Linked DNA regions of Astyanax mexicanus. The protein of the gene in region 2 binds, or shares a complex with, the protein of the main gene of each other region. Links are inferred from orthologs where the notes say so. Each region holds a gene or a part of one and is shown on either strand. Other genes may lie near its edges.

Region 1 (3,757 bases), on a different chromosome or scaffold from region 2:
TCCAGAGGAAAAGAAAGAAAACCCAGTGAAGGAAGCCCTGCTAATCGACTTATCTTTTTAAAGGACCAAGTTCACAAAACCAGGAAAATAAAAGTGCAAATCAGAAACACTGTCTGTTAATAAAGAGGATATGAGAGTGCATATGTGCCTAATAAGACCCTAGAGATATAATAATGTAGATTTTATCTGTATGTTTGATCATACACAGGTGATTGTTTTAATATGAAAGAAAACTTTCCTTGTCCATGTTGTTTGTTTATATTTGTTTGTTTGTTTTCCTCAAAAGGTACAAATAAAATATCTTAACTTTAATTGGTGTGCTTATGTTTAAATGTGTTATGTTCTATGATTCCTATATTCCAAATTGTATTTCCTGCTTCAAGAAAATTCTATAGTTTGGTCAGTAAATCAGAGATGAAGCAGAAGCAGGTAGCAAATTGTTTATCTTGTTGTTTAACTAGGCAGATACACCTTTGGTTCCGTGCCTGAGTATCAGATACTTGCTGCATCATTCAGGGTTGTCTACTACAGCTTAAACCAGTGAGGTCATTCAGTAAAAGTATATTTTCTGCTAGGACAAGAGTCAGGGTCTTGGATGTTGTATGATCACTACCCCACATCATCCCCCAACTATTTGTGAATTTATTAGATGACTTGTTAAAGTGTCTGAATGCATTATATGAGGGAGTGTCCATAAATTAAAAAAATACGAGTCTCTTTGATTTTTACCTAAATGAAAACCTCTGCAATATAATCAATCATATATACTCAATCATATATACTGTATCCTGCCTTCTGCCCGATGCCTGCTGGGATAGGCTCCAGCACCCCCCCGCGACCCTTAATGGATAAAGCGGTTGATAATGACCTGATAATATACTCAATCATTTATCCAAAACCAGTGTGTAAGACTGGTGGAGGAGAGCATGCCAAGATCCATGAAAACTGGTTATTCCACCAAGGTTATTAAATTGATTTCTGAATTTTATGAATATAAACTTTTTTTTTTTTGGCGTTACTTGAGATCTGAAAGCTCTGCATATTTTTGTTATTTCAGCTGTTTTTTTTTTTCATTTTCTGGTAATAAATGCTCTAAATTACAATATTTTTTTATGTGGAATTTGGAAGAGATATCTGTAGTTCATATAATTAAAAAAACAATGTTCTTTTACTCAAACATATACACAAAACATTTTTTCAAGAGCTGTATATGTTCTGGGAATGTTCTGCTTAGCATCATACTGTAAGGCACATACACATTTGAAGGAAATGTGCTCTTGAATGTAAAGGCGATTTTTTAAATCCACTTCACTAAATATAAAAAATCCAAATATTTAGAATGTATGTTTATAATAAGCATGAAGACAATATATTTACATGTCCGGTGCAGCAGGGGGCAGTAGCCGCAGTTATGCTGCTGATATAATGTTGGACTGGAGAAGAACAAGAGCTGAATACAGTTAAACTGCGTAAAGGCGCAGAAGCGCAGTCTCAGTTCCCACTGCAGAGAATGGAGTTTATTTAAGGAGTTTAATTCCATTAAAACACGCCTTGAATACTTTAACCCTGAATAACAGCTGCTGAAAATGACAACCCTCGTCCTGGATAACGGAGCTTACACAGCTAAGATCGGATACAGCCATGAGAAAGTCAGGTAGGAGGTTTAGGTTAAATAACCTGTTAGTTAACTAGCTACACAACACGTACTACACTCGGCCACTAGAAACTGAATTAATGATATCTAATTCCTTGTTTTCTCAGTGTTCTTCCTAATTGCCAATTTCGCTCCAAAACTCTGAGGCTAAAAACCTACACTGCCAATCAGCTGGATGAAATCAAGGATCCATCTGGCCTCTTCTATATTCTACCATTTCAGAAGGTAAGCTAGATACACAGCCACATACTTTGTTTTATTATTATTATCTACCTTGTAAATTCAATATTGAAGACATTAAAGCTAAACAGAAACACATGCAAAATTGTTTTGTAAACAAAAAGTGTTACACAAGCCAAAATATGTTTCCTACTTTACATTCTTTTAAGTAGCTGGAGGTGCTTCACGCTATAAAGCTCCAGCTCATCCCAAATCACCATCTCATCCCAAATTACTTCATAATTCAATCTGTTTCCTAATTAATTCCACGTCATTAATATTAATATACAATGTAAAAAAATAAATTAACAAATAAAGAGAAACATTGAATGAGTAGGTGTGTTCAAACGTTTGACTGTATATGTACATACAGTACTGTATACAAATTTTAGGAAACTGTGAAGATTTAAATTAAACAGCAGTACATAAATATTTGTTCTGTTAAACTACTAAAACAATCATTTTAAATGGTAGTGGATTTTCATCACTGTGTTTATTAAACTCTCCTTATTAGGAATGCACCGGACTAAAATGAGTACCAAACATGTTTTCTCAGTTTTCATAAATTTGCTCCAGAAATTGAATTTCCTGAATGTATATATTTTTATTGCCATTCAAAGGAAATAACAAAACTACAATTCAAAATATTTATTGACCCCTGAACTTTTTAAAACAAAAATCCTAATAGATATACTAACGAAGTGTAATCTATTCACTTGAACACCAAAAGTGTTTTTTTGCCATTTACAGCTGAAGATTTTTGGTTGCCATATATTTGGTGCATCGCTATTATTAATACTTATTATCCCACACCTGGTTTGGTAAATCAGTGCTTGCTGATGTTCAGTTAGGTGAGTTGGTGGTGGAATTTTTCACATCCATGCACTCGCTGGAGTGTGTACTTTACATACATGCATTTGCATCTGTTCTAATGTAATGTGATTACTATGTCCACAGCCAAGAGTAGAGCCACCCAGTATTTGGCTGGAATAGTAAAAATATATTCAGTAACTTTGGGATTAGTTTGAGTTATGTTCATGATTTATCATTCAGGATAAGTATCTCACCTCACCAATGCTCTCATGGTTAAATACATTCAGATCTTGATACACATCTAAAAAATGCATGAAGGTCTGAGAAGGTGTCAGTATTTGTGGATAGAAAATGTAAATTAAGTGCTTCTGTTTATTTTGAAATATTTGTTTGCTTCAGGGTTATCTTGTTAACTGGGATGTGCAGCGTAAAGTGTGGGATCATCTGTTCGGAAAAGAAATGTTTAAGGTATCTCCCTTTTTTTCTAGTACAACACAGTTACATTACATTGTAGTAGTATGAAACCAGTTATAAATTGAGAAAAATTACATGTTTACCCATAACCTGTGATATTGATATCAGTGTTTAATTGTAAATTTTGGCAGGTTGATTTTGCTGACACCAGCATAGTGATAACAGAGCCCTACTTCAACTTCACCTCAATTCAAGAGTCAATGAATGAGATTTTGTTTGAAGAGTACCAGTTTCAAGCAGCATTAAGAATCAATGGTAAGTTCAGCCTCATATTTTTGTACAGTTTATTAGTGGACAGAGGTGAGTAAATTGGTGTTTACATATTTACATTTATGGTCTTATCAATAGCAACTTTTTTTATCACGGTACAGATATTGTAAACATGATACAGCAAGCTGTAGCAATTGTCTTTCAAAAGCAGAGCATTGCAACTGTCTACTACACTGTGCTAACCATACTGTAGTAACCATATTGTTATGCTGGGAAATTAATGACTCAAGAAAGGTAAATATGTCCTTTACATAACATGTAAAAGTACAATAGGATTAAATAATGCAAATATTGAGTAACTTATAAAACTTCTGTGGAACAATTTAG
Region 2 (3,757 bases):
CGCTAAAGCCCAGATCCAGGGTGATGCCTCTCTCTTTGGACTGCGGGTTCTTGTCGAAGGCAGCGGTGGAGGCGGTGCTGCTCAGAGCCCTGGCTAGAGACGTCTTCCCGCTGTCCACATGGCCCAGGACACCCACATTAAAGTTCAGAATCTGGGGGAGGAGGCCGTCCCCAGCGTTAGCGCTCGGATCTGCCATGTGTGGAAGAATTAAAGACAGGATCCGAACGAGACACAATAGGGAAGCAGTGGACTTTGATCTAAGATGACTGTGCACTTTCAGCTTAATTCACACCAAAAAAAAGTTGTGCTGCTGAAAAACACAGATCTTGTAAGTTAGCTGGATGCAGTTTAACTCAAGCACCTCTCAGATGTCAAAAACGAGTAATTTCAAACTGAACCAACTCGAATCAACTCCCTCCTATACAGACAGTGCGCCATATCATATCGTTTGACAGATACGCTAACTACACTTCCTGCGTCGCCTAAAAAACACTACCTCCACCTACGGAACATGTCTCAGGGAATGGGACCCAAACGTAGGTAGTGGATAGTGTTAGCTAGCTGACTAGCTAAGCTATATGAGCTGCTGCTGACCTACTGCAAGTAAAGTTATAATATAATACAAGTAAGTAAATAAAATAAAATAGTACCAAAAACAAGATAGCTCTGTTTAGCTACGTATAAATCCACAAGACTGCACTTTTATGCAAAAACATCTTGACTGAGGACTTAGATAAATTCAAACGATGCTAAAACTAAAATATGCTGTAAGACAAAAAACAATGCAGAATCCCCAACATTTATAAAATAATAATAAAAAAATTAAACAAAATTTATATATAACTTAAGTTAACCTGCAGTGAAACATCTTACGTTAGCTAGCTAAAGCACGCAGCGCACAGTTATAGTTAGCTTAGCTTCTGTTTCTAGACGGATCTTTAAACTCGCCCACCAACGGAAAGGGCCAGCTAACGTTCTTCAACGTTAGTTCTTCAACGCTTCTGATGAACATCGGTGTTGACCAATGAGCGAGCAGATCGGAAGACTCTTAACCAATAGCGATAAAGAAAGAAGCTAGACATGTTAGCAGGGGCGGTGACTTCCCGAATCTCCTTGGTTACCCGCATGGAAACGCGGTCCCCCGTGTTTGCAGTCGCGCCGATTTCAACGGCGAAGCAGAAGAGCGCTGCTGGGCACGGAGAGAGCTTCTACTCGAGCTTTGATAATCACAGAAAAGAGCCATGAAGATCGAGGAGGTGAAGAGCACGACGAAGACCCAGCGCATCGCCTCGCACAGCCACGTGAAAGGCCTTGGCTTGGACGACGCCGGCAATGCTAAGCAGACCGCGTCCGGCCTGGTTGGACAGGAGGCCGCCAGAGAGGTAACTAATTAACATGGCTAGGAGAGCTAAGCTAGCTAACCTAACCAACTAATGGGGAATATGTGAGCTGACTTACTTTCTAGCTACCTAAGTAGCTTACTAACTAAAATATCATTTGATTAGGAAAACCGACGACTTGCAATGAACTAGAGCACAGTGTGTGTGTGTGTGTGTGTGTGTGTGTGTGTGTGTGTGTGTGTGTGTGTGTGTGTGTGTGTGAGAATTAGGCTAGCGTGCTAACTAATGTGTGTGACACCTGCGTCTGTAGCTAGTGTAACTAAAGGTGCACGATAATATCGGAACTTTATCGGTATTTTATTCGTTTAGTCAGAATGATTTTTTTTAGTAATGTCGGTATTTTTTTAGGTGTTTTCAGAAATTTAATTAAAGACAAAACTGGTATTTATATGCTCCTATTGTACTCAAAACAAAACTTTAGTCAGGTCTACTGTCCCAGCGTTTTGCTCACTGTAGCCTAGATAACCTAGCTAACATACCTTATGTACTAAATAATTAAATAGCTAAAATTAGGGGAGTGTCATATCGTTTTTTAATATTGTAAACAATATTATACCCTGAAATATTGTGGTAATTAGGGGTGGGTAATATGGCACATCAGGGTATTACCTTTCCTATTATATATCTACGAGAGACAGATTATAGTTAGCTATGTTAATACTTGTGAATTGCTAGTTTATATTTAAATATCTGCAGATTGCAGTATATCTGCTGACAACCTCTTCTTCTGAGAGGCTTACTAAATAACTGCAGCTAAATGTTCCCAATGGTCCTATTTTTTCCAGGCATGCGGCATCATTGTGGAGCTGATTCGTTCCAAAAAGATGGCTGGCCGAGCTGTCTTACTTGCAGGGCCACCTGGAACTGGAAAGGTAGGCAATACAAACCAGTGGCTTTGCATAAAGACCAATGTTGATGCAACTAAGGTTGACGAGTAGTAGTTTAGTGGTAGTGTGTATAATCACCTGTTTATGCCCGTCAGACTGCTCTTGCCCTGGCCATGGCCCAGGAGTTGGGAAATAAGGTGCCATTCTGTCCGATGGTGGGCAGTGAAGTGTATTCATCTGAAATCAAAAAGACGGAAGTATTGATGGAGAACTTCAGAAGGGCTATTGGTGAGTCCCCATAATAATACATCTACTTTCACAAGTTATGCAGAATGCTGGAGAAGAAATGCTCTGAGTGAAAACTTGATGTAGAACTAATAGGAAATATGAGAATACAGTATTATTTGTAAATTGTTTAATACAATGTACTACATAGGTAATAAGTGAATAACACTAAATATGATTAAACTCATTAAAAATGCAGTCTAAAGTGAGTGATAAATGTTGTTTTATGTAAAGCCATTGGGCTTTTATTTTGTAGGCTACAGTTTTCATACCTGACATTTCTGTCCACCCCAGTCACTGAATGGATTTAAGTTTTCAAGAATATTGATACAACCTGCAAATTCAAATAAGAGATTTGGAAATTGTTATGGTAATATTATTTGTGTAAAAAATGCTCCTAACACTTACAGATACAACAATATCTGTCTGTTGATATAACCTGTCATAAGAGAGGAAATGGCGTAAATAATCTTAAAGGGGGAGAGAGGCATGCTGTACGAGGCCATAGAGAGTCCATTATACTGCTGTCAACATGCCCTTGACATTTGCCCTTTGCTTTTGGCTCACTCATATTGAGAGAGAGTTACTGAACACCAGTAGGCAATATGCAGAAAAAAAAATTGGTTACTGTGTTACCAACACACTTTGCTCCAGAACATCCAACTGCCACACCAATATTTTACATTGTTACATTGTGTGTGTGGTCTGTGCAGGTCTGCGAATTAAGGAGACTAAAGAAGTGTATGAAGGTGAGGTGACTGAATTAACGCCATGTGAGACAGAAAATCCAATGGGTGGCTATGGGAAGACTATCAGTCATGTCATCATCGGCCTGAAAACAGGAAAAGGAACTAAACAGCTGAAGGTAAAAATTAAATCTAAAACACATCTTTGTGGTAATGTGAGAGATAATATTTGTGTATATACCATGTGCTCTATTTCTCTGTGCCATAGCTTGATCCTAGTATCTATGAGAGTCTACAGAAGGAGAGGGTGGAGGTTGGTGATGTCATCTATATTGAAGCCAACAGTGGTGCAGTCAAGGTAAGGACACACACAAGCTATTAGTTGTGTTTTTTGCACACTCACAGCACACTCTTGGTGTGTTGATGTATCTTTTAGTCGGTGCAGGTGGGCAGGCAGTCTGGCAAAGGATTAAAGACAAGACTGTATTTCGTAGTGCTGACAGACCTTTCAAGGTCCCTATACACACAAGCACAGCCACCTTGTGGTGCCATTCCATTC
Region 3 (3,757 bases), on a different chromosome or scaffold from region 2:
ATCTGTCTTAAGCTCTTTGCTGTCAGCTTCCTGAAAGGTAAGAAAGGCTACAGAGTCAGAAGTGGTGAGAACATACAGCAATCTGCCTTAATGATAATACAAGTTCTTTGTATTTCACTTAATGTGCATGTTATCAGGTTCACTGGGACTATAGGAGCACTTTGACACTGTTTCTTTTTATACTTTACTATGCCTCAAATTACCCTGTTCTCCAATGTTCAGGACTAGGGATGGGCGATATGGCCCTAAAATAATATCACAATATTTTACAATATCGATACTCTTGGCGATATGACAAAACAAGGAATTAAAAAATAATAATTTTAAGAAAACACTACTGCAACAAAATGAAAATGTAATTTTATTATTGCATACAATATGATATGGCACACCCCTAACTGAGATATATAATGGGAAATGAGCTCAGTGTGATTTTTGAAATTGTTTTTGCTAAAAACAGTTAAAAAAAAAGTACCCTGATGTGATAATTAGGGGTGTGTGATATGGCACAATATTTCAAGATATAATATCGATCATGATATTCAAAACCATTGGCAATATTATTGCGACGATGCAATTTGGCACACCCCAATTCAAGACCATGACAAAGCAGGTAAATGTACCTCAGGTGTGTTCAGGTACATTTCTCGTTTATTGCTATCTTAGCAACAGAAAACACAGGTGTGCCACGAACTAAAAACAACCTAGACAATAGTCATCAGTCAGATGTTCATTGCTATCTTGGCAATGCAGTATGCAGATAGACAGAACCACAGGATTACAGTCTATAATTATTGAACTGCAAAGTGCAAGTGCTCCTTTTTGCTCAGTTTACAAAAGCTATGGAGCAGATACATAATATCAGTAGGTCAGTATCAGCAGAAAATGCATGAATGAATCAGGAAAAAACGAATCTGATCCTGTAACTAAAACCAATCCTGAGAAAAACATGCACAGTGAGGTTGTTAGGTGTGTGTATCTTCCTTTAGGCTATGGGAGTGGTTTTAACACGGTGGCCTACTTTTAGATGCTCATCTTACTGGAATATGTTAATACCGGTATTCTGTTTTTTGGTCATTTTTACATGAGAGTACAGATTTGAATGCAGTTGAGAGGCAGTGAAACTAGAAACAAATAAAATACAATAAAGTGTACCTGAATACTTTTGATTGTATTCTTCAGCTGGAGATACTGTGATATTTTATCATACACTCCATCTCTCTGTTCCAACACTGTCCTAGATAAAACAAGCACAGTTACATTATATATATATAAATATAATGCAGTACAAAACATTAGAATTAAAAAGCATCTTATCTGGCCAGGTGTGAATGGGGAGCATGAGTGTTAAATGTGGGGTTCTCTTATAATGGCAAATGAATATTTAACATGGCACCTCATAATAAAGAACTCTCTGAGGATGTGAGAAACTGAATTGTTGCTCTACACAAAGATGGCCATATGCTAGCATACTAAAACTGAGCTACAGCACAGTGGCCAAGTTCATACAGCGGTTTAACAGGACAGGTTCAAATTTTATATAAGCCATATCCGGATGTTTGCTTAAAAAATGACACATAAGTGCTGCCAGCATTGCTGCAGTGGATGAAGACATTGGAGCCTGTCATTGCTCAGACCATCGGATTCATACTATATTAACTCAGTCTGGATAGCCATCTTCTAAAACTGAAGCAAAAGAAAGCCTACAAACAGTCTGCAGAAGACATGCAATCCAGGAGAGTGCAGTCCACTGATTGATCTATTTTAGGCTTTTATTTATATTATTGTTGATTAATATGGCTTACAGCCAATGAAAACTTCAAATTCAGTCTATAAAATTAGAATAGACCAACTGGTCCTTTTGGCAGAGTGGGCAGCGTGCCAAGTCCTGCTGGATAATGAAATCCGCTGTAAGATCTTCCGGGATAACAGTGCACTGACTTTGAACCTGATGTAACACAGTGGACCAACACCAGCAGATGACATTAAATTAGTTTATTAAAAGTTAATTCATTTAATTTCTTGTTAATTAATTGAATAATGTGTTTGAAAGAATCAGTTGTAAAGTTGTGAAGCGGTAGAATAGGTATACATTGATTAGCCCTATTTGAGTAATGTTCTAATTCATATTATGAGAAGCAAGAACTACTCAATAAAATAAAGACAAATGTTTAAGAAAAATGAAGGTCAGGCAATTTAAAAGGAACAATTTTAAAGAACTTTAAAATTATCTTCAAGTGTAGTCACAAATGTTCTGATGAAACAGTTTTCTCTGTTGTACAGGATAAATAAATAAGAATCCACAAGTTTTCAGCACCAATAAGGTACCAAGGTGCCTGAAACATCTGCACAACACAGTGTGATGTATATAAAGGCTAAATAAACAAATTTCTCATGTCAGTGTACAGCTACTCACTGTAAATCTCTCTTCAGAACGTCACTGATAAAAGCTTCATACTGCAGGACTTTGTCGTCGATGTTGAGATTACCAGAAGTCATCCTGCTAATTTAGTTACAGCTGCAGTTTCCACGTGGCACGGTAAAAAAACAAGCTGGATCTAGAATAACCTCATTAAAACACCGAAATTCAGGTTTTTCTTCTCCTGAGCTGCAGAATGAAGCTGACAGCTGAGAACCTGCTAACAGGCTAGCTAGGCTAGTTAGCTAGCAGTTATTTCAGGACTGACAGGTTAACTAGCTTCATAAAACACACACGCTGAGATATTAACACTTTTCCTGCGAGTAAATATCTAATAATTACTGATCTGCCTCGCGTAATCCTGCGCCATGTGAGAGTAAAGCGGTTGTTTACAAGATACCGGAAATAGCCATGACACGCAGCAGGAAACGAGAGGAACTTAAATTAATTATTATTATATTTTTTTAAAACTGATTTAAAAATTCAGAATATAAATAGAAAATATATGCTACACGTTTTGATTGGTATATTATAATAATAAATAAATACTATTAATAATACTTTTAATAATACAGGTGTTCATATTTAAATAACGTTAATATATTTACTTTATAAAAAAACAAAACGATATTTCCAATTTGTTAGAAATTTTAAACACATTTTAAATAATTTAATAACTAAGAGCTCAGGCTTTATTTATTCAGTTGTTTAAATTGTAGCTTAGCAAATGTATTCACGTTTTCCTTTATGTTTCATACAGAAAATACAAATTATTGTATTATAGAAAAAAATATTTTTGTGTTTAAAGATATACAAAAGTTCATTTTTAAAATAATAATCAGACCCAAATCATTAAGCTTCTTTCGTTACCGTTAGCTTACATTTTTGTTTAGTTTAAATTTTAAAAAATACATAAAACATAACATCATATTAATAGCATATTAATAGCAATTGGTCGCATATTGCTCTGATATTTAAACGATTATCTATATTTCACATCTATTATTATATTTATTTATTTAGAAGATTGAGTCCAAAATGAATGGATGTGAATAGGGCTAACAGCTAAAAACTAAAACTAAAAAAAAAAAAAAAAATAGTTACTATTCACTAATTCTTGACATTCCTTTAATTTTATAAATTGGATTAAATAATTTCTAAAAATGTAAAGAAAATATGCCTGTATGTTTCCTTTTTCTACAGCAAACAGGTTTTGGACAACAGATTCGCTAGCAATGCTGCTAACTACTGTGTGCTGATTGGTTGGTAAGAGATGTTGGTCATAGTGGAGTCAAACTGAGCACGTTTAAAAGGCGTATACTGGAGTTTTGACTGGAT

Evidence for each region.
Region 1: the proteins of ruvbl1 (region 2) and actr6 are in contact, whole or in part, in a cryo-EM structure (PDB 6IGM), measured with the Homo sapiens proteins. The link is inferred for Astyanax mexicanus from reciprocal best matches to the Homo sapiens genes RUVBL1 and ACTR6. Residues at the interface, in NP_003698.1 of Homo sapiens: Lys162, Thr163, Ala164, Lys165, Gly166, Thr167, Tyr209; in NP_071941.1 of Homo sapiens: Tyr217, Tyr300, Arg338, Cys339, Leu340, Thr341, Pro342, Thr343.
Region 3: ruvbl1 (region 2) and uxt share a complex: the UniProt entries of both Homo sapiens proteins name them as parts of the PAQosome complex. The link is inferred for Astyanax mexicanus from reciprocal best matches to the Homo sapiens genes RUVBL1 and UXT.

What each region holds. Positions count from the first base shown.
Region 1 is NC_064417.1:36,535,705-36,539,461, forward strand, and holds the start of actr6 (actin-related protein 6), read left to right. Parts: upstream 1-1,425; 5' UTR 1,426-1,586; coding exon 1,587-1,654; intron 1,655-1,761; coding exon 1,762-1,879; intron 1,880-3,085; coding exon 3,086-3,154; intron 3,155-3,291; coding exon 3,292-3,415; intron 3,416-3,427; exon of another isoform or gene 3,428-3,757. Other genes in the region: gtse1 (G2 and S phase-expressed protein 1), read left to right, coding at 1-61. UniProt on the Homo sapiens protein: Required for formation and/or maintenance of proper nucleolar structure and function. Plays a dual role in the regulation of ribosomal DNA (rDNA) transcription.
Region 2 is NC_064412.1:16,298,405-16,302,161, reverse strand, and holds the start of ruvbl1 (ruvB-like 1), read left to right. Parts: upstream 1-1,096; 5' UTR 1,097-1,241; coding exon 1,242-1,382; intron 1,383-2,185; coding exon 2,186-2,272; intron 2,273-2,382; coding exon 2,383-2,515; intron 2,516-3,225; coding exon 3,226-3,377; intron 3,378-3,466; coding exon 3,467-3,556; intron 3,557-3,757. Other genes in the region: eefsec (selenocysteine-specific elongation factor), read right to left, coding at 1-196. UniProt on the Homo sapiens protein: Possesses single-stranded DNA-stimulated ATPase and ATP-dependent DNA helicase (3' to 5') activity; hexamerization is thought to be critical for ATP hydrolysis and adjacent subunits in the ring-like structure contribute to the ATPase activity.
Region 3 is NC_064419.1:3,787,712-3,791,468, forward strand, and holds the start of uxt (protein UXT), read right to left. Parts: upstream 2,840-3,757; 5' UTR 2,500-2,839; coding exon 2,417-2,499; intron 1,238-2,416; coding exon 1,156-1,237; intron 31-1,155; coding exon 1-30. UniProt on the Homo sapiens protein: Involved in gene transcription regulation. Acts in concert with the corepressor URI1 to regulate androgen receptor AR-mediated transcription. Together with URI1, associates with chromatin to the NKX3-1 promoter region.